Linked DNA regions of Drosophila melanogaster. The protein of the gene in region 2 purifies or fractionates together with the protein of the main gene of each other region. This does not show direct contact. Each region holds a gene or a part of one and is shown on either strand. Other genes may lie near its edges. The genes, in order: Glos and Gem3.

What was found.
Region 1: the proteins of Gem3 (region 2) and Glos purify together in Drosophila melanogaster (affinity purification with mass spectrometry, with the first as the bait; one large-scale study listed by BioGRID). This does not show direct contact.

The regions. Positions count from the first base shown.
Region 1 is NC_004354.4:3,934,602-3,941,285, reverse strand, and holds Glos (gaulos), read right to left. Parts: upstream 4,770-6,684; 5' UTR 4,465-4,769; coding exon 4,347-4,464; intron 4,294-4,346; coding exon 2,131-4,293; intron 2,072-2,130; coding exon 1,617-2,071; 3' UTR 704-1,616; downstream 1-703. Other genes in the region: Gem4b (gemin 4b), read right to left, coding at 1-55, 109-226; CG2938 (uncharacterized protein), read left to right, coding at 5,289-5,556, 5,930-6,026, 6,107-6,684. UniProt on the Drosophila melanogaster protein: Component of the survival motor neuron (SMN) complex that catalyzes the assembly of small nuclear ribonucleoproteins (snRNPs), the building blocks of the spliceosome, and thereby plays an important role in the splicing of cellular pre-mRNAs.
Region 2 is NT_037436.4:10,458,571-10,464,925, forward strand, and holds Gem3 (gemin 3), read right to left. Parts: upstream 4,532-6,355; 5' UTR 4,457-4,531; coding exon 4,267-4,456; intron 4,209-4,266; coding exon 1,312-4,208; 3' UTR 511-1,311; downstream 1-510. Other genes in the region: CG32061 (uncharacterized protein), read left to right, coding at 5,331-5,975.

The DNA.
Region 1 (6,684 bases), on a different chromosome or scaffold from region 2:
TCCTCCAGCAGGTCCGTCACTTGGTCGCAGATCTTCTCAATGTGCTCATCGTTTCCTGAGAACAAACAATGTTCATATTTGGGCACTAACCTCTGGTACTTCACTTACCACTCCAGTAAATCATATCTTTCAGACACTTGGCCTGTTCGTTGTTGTCATGGAATATTTTCTTCAGCTGGACAAACAACTGGCAATTGTCCAGCGGGTGCTTCTCAGCAGTTATCATCGTGCTGCCGAAATTTCGCGTTTCGTCAAAACTCTTCCGAAGGAATTCAATTTTATGTGCGTCTTCTGTCAGATGACTATCGAAAATCGATAGTTTACCGGTGCGTACCGATTATCTTGCGTGCAAGGAATATTTTTTGAAAATGAAAATGTCCCTACAACAAAAAATTTCGCTTTGTAATAGACTCTCTGATGTAGATAGATACTAATATGACTTGTCCACTGCATGCTATGATTTAACTTTAACTTTATTTATAAACATTTTCATATGATATTTTGTATTTTGCTCAGCTGAAAATTAAATGAAGATATTTTATAAAGTATTGTAATGTATTATTCGATAATTAATTATTTGTATTATTATTGTAATGTTTTATTCGATAATTAATAATTGACATTATAAATATTGCGACTTCTCCAAAGTCAACTGCAGTTTTTTAAACAGTGGTCCTATTTAGCAAAAGTATTTAAAATAATGCGATTCGCATGCGGCACTTGAGTTTGAAATCGAGAGATAGATTTGGAATTCGTACATAAGAATACGAATAATAATAAGAACATGCTAAATTACAATAATTTCAAGCTTGCCAAAGTATTTATTTAATAGACAAAAAACTTGATGGTAGTATCCGCGCGTTCTAACGCACTGTCTCTCTTCTTTAGACGCCGTTCCGATTGCGCGGCCGCCTCCTGACGGCTCGACTCGCGCCCGTACTCTCCTCGACTATCCTCGCGTACGTGTGGCTCCTCGCGTGTTGTGACTGACTGCCCCAAGCTGCACTTGCGCCGTTCCTTTATAGGCCGCGGGGATCCCGTTATTTTCCCCTTTGCGCGTCCAACTAATTTGCCGTTAGTTCACAATGTGTGTCCTCTTGTGCGTGTCCAAAGTCCGCACCGTTACTGTTCGACCTCCGTGCCCTTGGCAGGCTCGAGTCCAAGGTCCAGCGCGGTACCGTTAGTTCACAGTCTCTCCGCTTTCCTGGCGTCCAAGGCCGCTCCCCTGCACCCAGATTTGTGGGGACGTAGACTCCTCACACATATTATTCTGATGTTCGATCATAGCGTTTTGTATTTTATATATGTATGTATGTATATAATACATAATTATACGAATAATATGAAGAACATGCAAAATTGCAATAGTTTTCATCTGAATAACTTCACTTGCTTGCCAAAGTATTTTTTAAATAGACAAAAAATTTGCAAGGCAGTAGTACATATGTTATGTGCATACAGTCATCCTTTTAAAGGACATACAAAATTGTAAAATAATCTGATATCTGGATTGAACATCATCCTAGCGTTATGATTATTATATATGTACGTCTTTAGTCGATTAGCGGCGGTGTTTCGATTTGGCTTAAGAAAATTACACTTCTAACAGCATCTCCTTAACACTTGGCCGCCTGCTGTTCCTGGATATTTATGCCGAATCGCACAGCGAAGGCTTTACTAGCTAGCTCCATAATCTCGTTGCGAATGGAGAATGGAGCCTTGGCCACAACGGCCATCAAATGATCCCAATGCTGGCGCTTCGTGATGGTCTTATTGTGTTTGGCGTGGCTCCGGAAGGCGATCAAATATTCTCGAAATAGGAATCTAAAGGCCATGAAAGCGGACTCGCTGTTCACCTTGACCACTGCATCGCTAAGATCGCCCATAACAGCACAATCGGCCCTTTTTTTAAGGAGCTTGTTGAAGAGATCGTTAGCCTCCTGTGCACTGGACTGAGTTAGCAATTTGAGAAAGGAGCGTGTGTCCTTTAAGGTGTCTTCTTTAAGGTAGATGATCCAAAAGTCCTTGTGCTTCAATTTGCTCACTTGGTTTAAGATCCTCTGGCGGAATTCTGTGAAAGAGCAATAATTAGTAGGCTTTCGTCTTGGACTTACATTTATAAGAGCGCACCAGTGCCTAGGAATGTCAGATGAGACAGACCGTCCTGCCAATACCACACCGCCAGTTCTAAATTATCCACCCGGAAATCTTCAAAGGTGGCCAAGTCCCAGCGTAGGGCATCAATGGTTTTCATGACATGCGAGATCAGCTTCCAGTGTTTCAAACGCCACTCTGGCAAACTGGCATGCAGATATGTGTAGTGCTTGGCCACCTTGACAGCTGGTGCATCGTCTCCGTTCTCCAATTTCGGGTGCTCCTTTTCGAGTGCATTTAACTCTGCAGTGCCTCGGGTGATTAGATTGCTTTCACCCAGACTAATCTGCTTGAGCAGTTTCAAGATTAACTGCAAGCTGGGCAAGTTCATGGGCTCTATAAACTTGGCCAAACCGTAGGCACACGCGTCTAGGAACCTATTTTGCGCCTGCCTAAGCTCATCCTCTCCGTAGGGACACCGTCCGTCTTTCAAACTAACGCACAGTTGTCGCGCTGACGTGTAGAGACCGTTGAGGATCTGTCGGTGGCCATATAGGTAGAGTGTAAACTGCAAGGCATACGGCTTTTGAAGTAGTTGCTCGTTCACCAAGATGTTATCGGCACAGGCGGAAATATGAAAAGCAGCATGCTTGGGACAAGACTGAGCTATGTGCCAGAATAGCTTCGAGAAGCGAGTATGCGTCACGCCCAAGTGGGAGAAATCAATCCAGGTCTGTCTTGCGTTCTCAAAGCACAGTACTAAAAATTCGGTTATCGGGAAGCGCTTATTATAATCCAATTGATTAAAGAAGCGTATGCGACGCTCCCGATGATCGGGAGCCTTGAAATTAAATCCTTGGGTAACGTTTTGCTCATCGCGTAATAGCAGTACTTCCATCTTGTCCTCGACATTTAATTGCATAAATAAGGGACGCAGTACTAGGCTTAGCAGCTCTTCGTAATCATCGTTGGACGAGGTCTCGTCCTCGTCGTCCCCCTGATTTACTTCCGTAACGGATATGCCCTCGTCCTCGACCACCATTTCGGACTCCACCACCTGACCCAGGAAACTGAGTATTATCTGGGCATGTTTCTTGGTGAGCATAATTAAATGATTTGCCATCGTTTCCAGGCACTCATCGCTGCCAAAGGCTATGAAGCGGCTAAAGAGATTGTCCAGCCCGGCGAGCAACTCCTCATTGGTGGCCATACCGGAATCGATAAAGGCCAAGAGTTCACCGATTCTCATCTCGGCAACGCGCTGCTCCAATGTTTTTGCTGCATCCGCAAAGCTCTGCATCTGCTTGCAAACCGGATGCTCTCCGAGCAACTTATCTGATTGGAGTACTTTAAGCAATTCTGCCGTCTGTCTACAGATTAGCTCCTGGCAGTTATACAAAGCACTTTTCGATTTCATTTCATGCCAATACATATACGTGTCTACGCTAACGAGCTGAAAGATACGCTGCAGAACGTCTAGCAGTATTTGGGCGAAATGCCGCAGATCAGGCATGGGATCGCTTGAGTTGCTGTCACTGATGTCCTCGGTTATTTGGCTGTAGACGGCGAAGCAATTTGGTTTCTCCCGCTTTAATGGATCATTGAGGGTATACAAAAGGACTTCTATAAGGTGATCCATAGCCTTGGCCAGGTAAATCTTTCGAGTGGATGGACGCGGCAGCGTATGGAGGCGCTGTTTAGAGTCCAAGATATGACGATGTTCCATGCAGGCTATCTGGCGCAGCAGTTGCTTATTTTCTGCGGGCAAATTGCAGTTGACAATTGCGCGACCGGCTGCTCTGAGGGCGGCAGAGAGCAGCGGTAGTGTTTCCACGCAATCTGAATTAATGACCGACAGAGCCTCATTGAATGCCTCAAAATACTGGATGGTCAGCCAGCGGGGTCCACAAGCAAGGAATTCCTCCAGCGGCTCCATGAGACAGCAGTTAACGGCTATTGCGATGGTCAAGAACAGTGGGATAGGCGGCAGCTGGTTACACAAATGCATGACATTGGCGCTCCACTGCGATTCGCACTGGATATCATCGTGTGCAGTGTTCAGCACCAGGTACACCAGTAGTCCACGCAGGTGATTCATAGCACAAGGATCCATTGTGTCTGGCGGCTGTATGATTAGATCGTGCTCCACCAGCAGGTCCGTCACTTGGTCGCAGATCTTCGCAATGTGCTCATCGTTTCCTGAGAACAAACAATGTTCATATTTGGGCACTAACCTCTGGTACTTCACTTACCACTCCAGTAAATCATGTCCTTCAGACGCTGGACCTTCTCGTTGTAGTCATGAAATAACTTCTTCAGCTGGACAAACAATTGGCAATTGTCCAGCGGGTGCTTCTTAGCAGTTATCATAGTGCTGCCGAAACTTCGCGTTTTGTCAAAACTTTTCCGAACGAATTCAATTTTATGTGCGTCTTCTCGTCAGATGACTATCCAAAATCGATAGTTGCGTACCACTTATCTTGCGTGCGAAGAATATTTTTTGAAAATGAAAATGTCCCGAATACAAAAATTTCGCTTTGTTATGGACTCTCTGATGTAGATTTATTCCTATTTATTTAACTTTATTTCTAATTTTTTTCCTATGATATGTAAATATTTTTAGCTGAAAAATAAATTAAGTATTGTAGTGCCTTATTCGATAATTAATAATTGATATTATTAACGATCCTCCCTTTCGACAGGAATGCTGAGAGATCATCTGTTCGTTATCGATAGTCTTGTATTGCGTTGGAGGGCAATAGACGCGGCTGCCTAACGGCCGGCAAAGCAAAAGCTAATGCTTAAATGGTAAAAAAATAAATGTATATTTGCTATAAAGTATAGTATTGTGTTTTTCGAAATTTGATAATTGATATTATTAACGATCTTTCCCGTTCGCCCACAATGCAGACAAATCAGCTGTTCGGTGTCGATAGTTTTGTGTTGTGGGTGGCGGTCGATAGACGCGGTTGTCTATCGGCCGGCGAAGCAAAAGCTAAAGGAAAGTAAAATAAAAGCCAAGCAAGAGCGAAACAGCAAGCGATAGGAGGAGTCGGTCGCTGCCTAAGGAACAAGCGGAACTGGGTTAAAACATGCCCATGCAATAGGCCAAATTATCTATATTATAGGCCAGACTTTCCGTCGCAGACCGTTTGGTGGTGGCGGTGGAGAAGGCGGCAGACGGCTTATAAATTATGGAGCTACGCGAACTGCGCGGTGGAAATGGTGGAAGCGTAGGAGGCATTGGAGCAGCTACAACCGGAACCCCCGGAGTGTCAGTGAATGGAGCCCCTAGTCCCGAACTAGGCGGCATCTGCATTGGAGGCGCCGCCGGAGGACAGCGTATGCCCACCAGAGCGGATATATTTATGGAACAACTAAACGCCACCAATGCCAAGAAGGTGGCTTTGCTTCTGGTCCTCGGCTTCATCGTCTATCACGGCCTGCTCAACTGGAAATACGGTGGGTCCAAGGTTACAAGATCTTTAAAGATCTAAGTACTATGAAATTTATAATGGATGTGGATACGGAATCGTACCCATTTTAAGATCACAATTGTATACCAATGTTCACTTATTCTTCTCATATTATTAATGAGTCAGTTTGACGTTTGACCATATTCGGTACATTTTAAATAGTAAAAAAGGTTTTTACAAACTTTTAATCTCAAACGTTTATGTAAATATAGATAATCATGTCGAATTTTAAGATTAGTGTACAAATTCTGCAGTTGGTTGGATTAATATAAACGACATGTAAAGTTCATATTTGGGATGTTGGCTGCCATCGTATGCTTATTATGGATATTGATTTGTTTTGTTTTGTTCTCCCGCAGGCAGTGACTCCTGCCAGTGGCTGCTGTCCAAGGGCCGATTTAAGGGCGACAACGAGTGGCAGCCGTACGGTTGCATGGTGCACAAGTACTCCCTCACGTGAGTAATCAACGCACATTCCCGACAAGATAACCCCCCAATTAATGAGTCACCCAAACCGAAATTCTCATTATTTACAGTGACACAAGGCGCTGTTTGCGTTACCTCGCCTTCTTCGACAACAAGAACAACTTTGTGTTCATTGGCGACGAGAGTATACGGCTGCTCTACGAACGATTTGTGGAGCAACTTCGCCTGCCATTGGCCGCGGATGAAATGGCCGACGAGGAGGACAATAACGCCTCGGTGACTGATGGCTCAGCCCGTTTCGAGGACAAGAAGCTGCATATGCTGGCCCAGTACATTCGGGCGGAGGAGGTGAGTCCGTCGCTTGTGGAGCAACTGTACCGTCTGGAGTCTGAGAAGCAGCTGTCCTCTGTGTACGTTGTGGGCTTCACCTATGCCGGCTTGCTCGCTGGCAACACCACAGACGATGTGCTGCGGCAATATGCCGCCAATCTTACATTGCTGGTGGCTCCGTTTCATCGCCTGGTGGCGCAAACTTCGCGGGTCCTCTGGAAGCTAGCAGACCGCGTGGACGAGGAGAAATTGCCCGCGCACTGGAAGCTGCTCCAGAACGAGCAAATCGATCGATTAAACCATGTGGCCAGAGGAGTTTTTCGCTACACGGAGGCAAGTGTTTGGGAATCCGCCTGGC
Region 2 (6,355 bases):
AGCATTTTTCGCATCTCGCATTTATCGCTAATCGAATTGAGTTTGCTGCCACTGCGGCAGCGACAAAATGCAACGCTATCCATGTCTCTAGGATCTATAAAATGTTGTCGCTTCCAGCTCGCTTTGAATTTGCGTTTTCTCACGCTCCTTATTGGACTTGCAACGCAGGGGGGGGAGGGGTGTTGCACTCCAAAAGAGGGGCACTTGGGGCACTGCAGATCGACGACCAATGAGCAGTACCATCCAGATGCCGGCTTTTTGCGTGCTCGACCGCAGGGCGAATGTTTTGACTATGCCACCGACGCGGCATGCCGCCTGTGGACCGTCTCATTCGCTTAACCCATTGCGAAGCACTCGCAAATGGGGACACAAAACTCGTAAAAGGAAACTTAAAAATTTTAACTGCATTTAATCAATTTAAAAATAAATTATTTATGAATCGAAGTATTTTAAAAATTAAATACAGCAGTGGAGTATAAAAAGAAAATAGTAGAACTCATTTATTTGCTGACAAACATGGCATTCGTTGCACAAATAATTCACAAAATGCATTAAATAAATAAATAAAACATAAATATATGTCATATTTTTGTACAATCCATTCTGATTTTCGAGTGGCTTTCAAAATCGAGTGAACGACTTTTGACAACAGCTAATTAATGGGTTAACACCTCTGCAGTCAGTTGCAAAGTGAGCGGCGCCCGTGCAACAATGTTGTCTGCCACACAGCTGATGCCCGTTGCCCGATGGTCGATGGTCGATGCCGATCCCGATCCCACTGACTATATGATTTATGTCCCGGCAGTCGGTTGGCGCCGCTTCTTTACCTTCATCCATCCGGCTTGCCGAAACCAAGAAAAATGTTTGTTTTCCCATCTCTTAGATAAATCATTGCGAGTGATTAAAGGGATTTAACTTTCACATTGTGGATTAATTTGTTTGATGCGATTATGTAGCGAATAAACATGAAAAACAATCAATTTTGAAATCAAAGAAGTTGAGCAATGAACTTATTGTTTAATAAATTCAAAATAGTTAGTTTCCTGCTTTAATTCATTTATTTTTTTGGTAACAAATTCTGCAATTTATTGCTTGCATAAAAAAACATTCATGGTATCCAACATGCTATCAACTATTTCGACATTGAGTATTCTAATTAAGAAAACGGTTTAACTGGCTACGATATACAATTGTAAGGAAAGAGACTGATACAGCCTCTCTTGGAACTGATCCGTTTTGTTTCCGAATGAAGTGATTAGTTGAGTTTAATTTTAATGCCTGAGTTTTCACTAGTTTTTCATTCATAACCACTTAGTAATAGTTCTGTAGATTCTTGGCCACATGGGATGCAATGAATTGGTACTGCATGTTGAAAGTCTGCAACCACAATGATTGAGCGTTCTGCATTGAACTGACATTGGTTACAGTTACAGAATCATCATCCGAAGATTCATAGGTGCTGCTCGCTACTGAAGATCGCTGTGAGCTTGATCCTGTCGCGCTGACATTGCTTCCAGCTTCCGAATCTGTTAAGGATTCAGTATCTGATTCATCATCCGAAATAAAGAATGCACTTGAATTATTTCCAGATGCGCCCGTAGATTCCGTTTCGTAAACGGAAGTGTCTATTCCAGACGAAACACTCTCCTGACTCTCTACAAAACCACTCGATGAATTTGGCCCGCCATCGCTGCCATCGTCCTCATCGTCCACAATGATCTCTTCGCCTTCGCCGTATTCCTGCGAGTCCTCCGTATCCGATTCACTTCCTGAACCAATTTCAACAGCGGCCTGTGGCATTGGTGGTATGTCCATCTGATTCGTCACATGAACACTTAACTTGTTCTTTAGATCCTTCTCCTCCTCCTCCTCCTCCTCTGATTCCGAAGACTCTTGGCTCTCGTAGTTATCAATGGATTTTAGGGACTCCTTCATAGCTTCCTTAAAATGCTTCTTCCTCTCCTTAGCACTGTTATAGTACATTTCCAGGATGGATTTATAGAGCTTATCCAGCAAAAAGCCAACCCTCGCATTGTCAATGAATTGATTCTTTGCATATTTGTGGAGCCGTTTCAAAAATCTCTCTTGATTTGTAAATTTTTGAAGCAGATGACACAAATTCATGTGTGGCAAAAGTGATATATTTTTGTATACATGACGTTTTCGCAAATGGTGTGCTTTTTTGGATCTGCATGACGAGCTCATCCGTTTTTTAAGCTTGCGTTTAACATTCGCCTTTAGTTTAGGAAATACTTTCTTGTATAGTATCACACGCCGTTTTCCATGGCCTCTCTTGCTCTTCAGCTGACGCCTTTGTTTCGACATTAATCTATTCCAGATCTCCTCCTCATCACTGGTTGCATAGTATGTGTCGTAGGACCTATCGCTATGATAGCCACATACCACCATGCTATCCGAACTGATGCTACTGGCATCGTCCACCGTGTTCGATATTACCATGTTCTGTATGGTCATCGAACTGGTTTGCGTTGGAGCAGCTAGGCAATAGGTTTTGTTGTTAATCGAGTTGGCTGGCGGTGCAGGTGGTGTCACTGTGGTTGGAGACGGCTCCTGGGTCAGTTCCAATGGTGTTAGGGTTGGTGTCAATTCGGGAGATATAAACTCCACCGGTTTTTGATTAGATTTTGACGGAACCTGGTGGTTTCCCGCTCCATTAACAGGATGATACTCTTTGCCGTCTGCTGTTCGTTGTATGTCTTCTTGCATATAGTATTTATTTACGGTGATCTCTGGTGTTTGCTGCACTTCAGTTATTTGTTTCTGTAACTTTGATGGAGTGTTAGATTTTTTCCTTCTCTCCGTCTTGTTCGTTTTAGAACCTCCAGCTTTGGAATTAGTTTCTTTAAGCTTTCCTTGCCTTACAATTTCTTTCTCTTTGACCCTAAGATTCTTATTATTATGTGAACTTTCTGGTAAGTTTTCGAGCTCCAACTCTTTTTGGGTTTCAACATTTTCTAAGGCCACTGGTAGTTTGTCTGGATCTCTCCTTTTGCCATCCTGATCCTTTTGAAGATTTTCCAAGTCAACTGAAGAAGCATCAACATTTTCTTTACTTCTATTTTCTTTAATAGGCATAGGCATTTCCTGTAGCGGATTCTCTTCCTTAATGTAATAATCAAAGTTGTACTTTTCGAAATCCCAAAAATTGAATTCATTGGGCATTGGCTCCTTGGGAAACTCCAGAACCGACCAAGCCGTAGCGATTTTTTTTGACATTTCCCTAAATCTCTGGCTCTCCTTCTTGGAGGCAATAAACGTGATGGCTATGCCTTTGGAGCCAAACCGACCAGCTCGTCCAATGCGGTGCAAATAGGTGACATGATCCTGTGGTGGATCAATGTTGATAACCAGGTTGGCATGCGGGGAGTCCACTCCGCGTGCCATCAAATCAGTGGCCACCAGGATGCGCATAGTAAAGTTTCTATAGCCCTCGAAAACATGCAAACGCTCCGATTGTTCCATGGCTCCCGAAATTAAATGACAATCGATACCACTGGCTGTAAGATAGTTCTTGTAAGAATCCGCTCGCATTTGTGAGCTAGCAAAGATGATGGCCTGTTCGTAAGGCAGCTGATTAAAGATCTGGCCAAGAATCTGCAGTTTAAGACGCATCTCCTCCACACTGTTATTCTGCTGTGGCAATTCGTAGACAAACTGCCGAATGCCCAGTAGAACGGTAGCCCTTTCGGAATTCGATATAAGCATGGGTTTGTCCATGACCTTGGCCAGACGCTCATCCAAATTCTGATCGTATGTGGCACTGCAGGCAATTATTTGCCGATTCTTGGGCATTGCCTCAATGAGTTTACTGACCGTATGCTGCAGGCTCTTTGTCTGATAAAGTTGATCGGCCTCGTCGAGCACCAGCAGTCGCAGTTTGGACACATCGAATACTCTATTCTCATACAGATGCAGCAAACGTCCCGGTGTACCGATAATGACTCGACTTTCATTCATTCGCTTGCGATCCTTGGCCACATCGGTGCCACCGATGAAAGCAGAGCATTTAAAGTCCCGAAACGATTTGCAGAGATGGAAAAATGTGTCCTGCACCTGAATGGCCAGCTCTCGAGTTGGGACCACGATCATGGCATGCGGTTGGTTTATGTTGGGATTAAAGCTCTGAACGACGGCTATAACATAGATTAGAGTTTTGCCAGTTCCACTCTTCGATTGTATTATTAGATCTGCAGATTAATATAGCAACTATTATTGATAATCTTCTGTTGCATGCAAGATATTTACCCATTTTGGCCAGTGCCATGGGTATGGCAGCTGCCTGAATCTTCGTTGGCGTCACGAAATTGTTGCGCTTCAATCCGTTCAACAGATTTCGGTATAGACGCAGTTCCTCGAAGGTCTTAACCTGTCCAGGTGCCACATCGCTACTTCGTTCCTCGCCGCCAGCTAAACTGTGCGCTATTTCGCGCTCCATTTCGCGTAAATTTCCACTTTTTGGACAAAATTTTGAAACGATTCGGTTGCCTTGCTACAATTTACACTTTTTTATTGCCGGCCAAAAAATCCATCATACGCGAATAATTATATACTAAAATATACTACAAACGAATTATCCGTGAATATTAAACCTATTTACACAGAACAAAACCTACAGTAACGAAATGTCATTTGTATTCAGAGAAATGTTTACATTTTTCATAATTTCACACAGAAATAAGGTATAATTGTTAGAATTAAATATTATTTTCTGTATTTAAATCTTATGTCGAAATATTAGCGAAGGCTCACACCAAGGTTGCTATCTGTGCTAACTATTTACCAAGCACTCCAACCAATTGAACTAAAAATAAAAAATTAATTCCTTTTGAAATCTTAACAATATATTGTTTTACAATAAAAAAATATGTACATCGTACCGTTGATTGTTTTAATATGAAATTTATATTTCCAATAGGTTGGAATAAGGCAAGATTGTCAAGCACTTAAATGCAGGGGTTTTAGCACAGCTAATAGTTGCTCTCAAACTGTACCAGCTGGCGGGAATTTCAAATAATTTATGTCGCTAAAATAAGTTGATGCAGTTAAGTAGTTTCAGCACGCTGCCTTTCAATTTAATAAATTAATTTATAACAAACAACGATAAAATCTTTTATTATTTACCTAATTGTTTAATTACGTAATTTTAATTACGTATAATTTAAAATAAAAATCAAAAAATGTTTATAATATAACGTTTTTTAAGCAATCAGACTGGGAATGTCAGAGCACATTGAGGTCACACAAAATTAGATACAAAATTTAAAAAACGACTTAAAATTTTTTCATTTTGAACTCCAAATTCGAGAACCATGTTCATACCCAAAATACGAGACATTGGTTACTTTGCGCTGCTGACATCCCTGCACTTGGGCTCAAATCTTCAGCCGGTCATCGAGGCGAATGCCAATCTAAAAACGGTCTATCCCTCCGTGAATCGTAATCTAACGCTTCAATTGGGCTATAAATACAATCACTGGATGCTGGTTAAGGCCATAATGTATTCACTACTATCTATGATCGGAGTTTGGTACTCACGACACTTGCAAAGTGGCAAAAGTGAGGTATCGATGGAAAAGAAAGGAATCCTTAAAACTACGACAACAGCTGCAGAGCAAGTGAAAAACAATTGGATCAAAAAACAGAATTCCGCATTGAAAAACGGAACCCTGCCGCGGAATATATTCCTGTTATTTGCTTTGCCCTGGATATTGACCTTTGTGGCCAGCGGATTGATCAACTATATTCGATTTTACATGGTCATACAGCATTTTTGCATATCTAACTGGAGGGCGATTCAGCTTTATGGAGAACTGCAAGGCCTCTTTTGGCATCGTTCTACATCCGTGACTTTAATACCCTATTGGTCGCAAATTATCGGCGGAGGAGTATCCTTGGAGAAGGCATCTCATCTTTCTGGAAATTGTATTTCCATTGAAACACATCTTTTGGACTGAACATGGCAATCTATATTTAAAATTTTTATTTTATGTTTGATGCAAAAATTATAATAATGGAAAATAAATCGATTTTGTTGACTTAGCTCTAAAGTTTTAAAGTGATTTTGATTTGATCAGTAAACTTAAATTATTGTAGCATTAATTGAGCATTGGAATTCGTTATTGGTTTATTGTTAGTTTTAATTTCTCAACAACATTTGTATTGTTGATTTCTTCTGGTGTTTTGCCTGCGACAATAAGCGACATTTTCAATCAACAAAAGAGAAAACTTTTCTATGAACTTTATGCACCGCTTGGCATTTTATTGTTGGAAAAAACTTTTCCACCACGTGGGAAATATGCGGCAATCACTTTTTCTTGCTCACTTTTATTCAGTG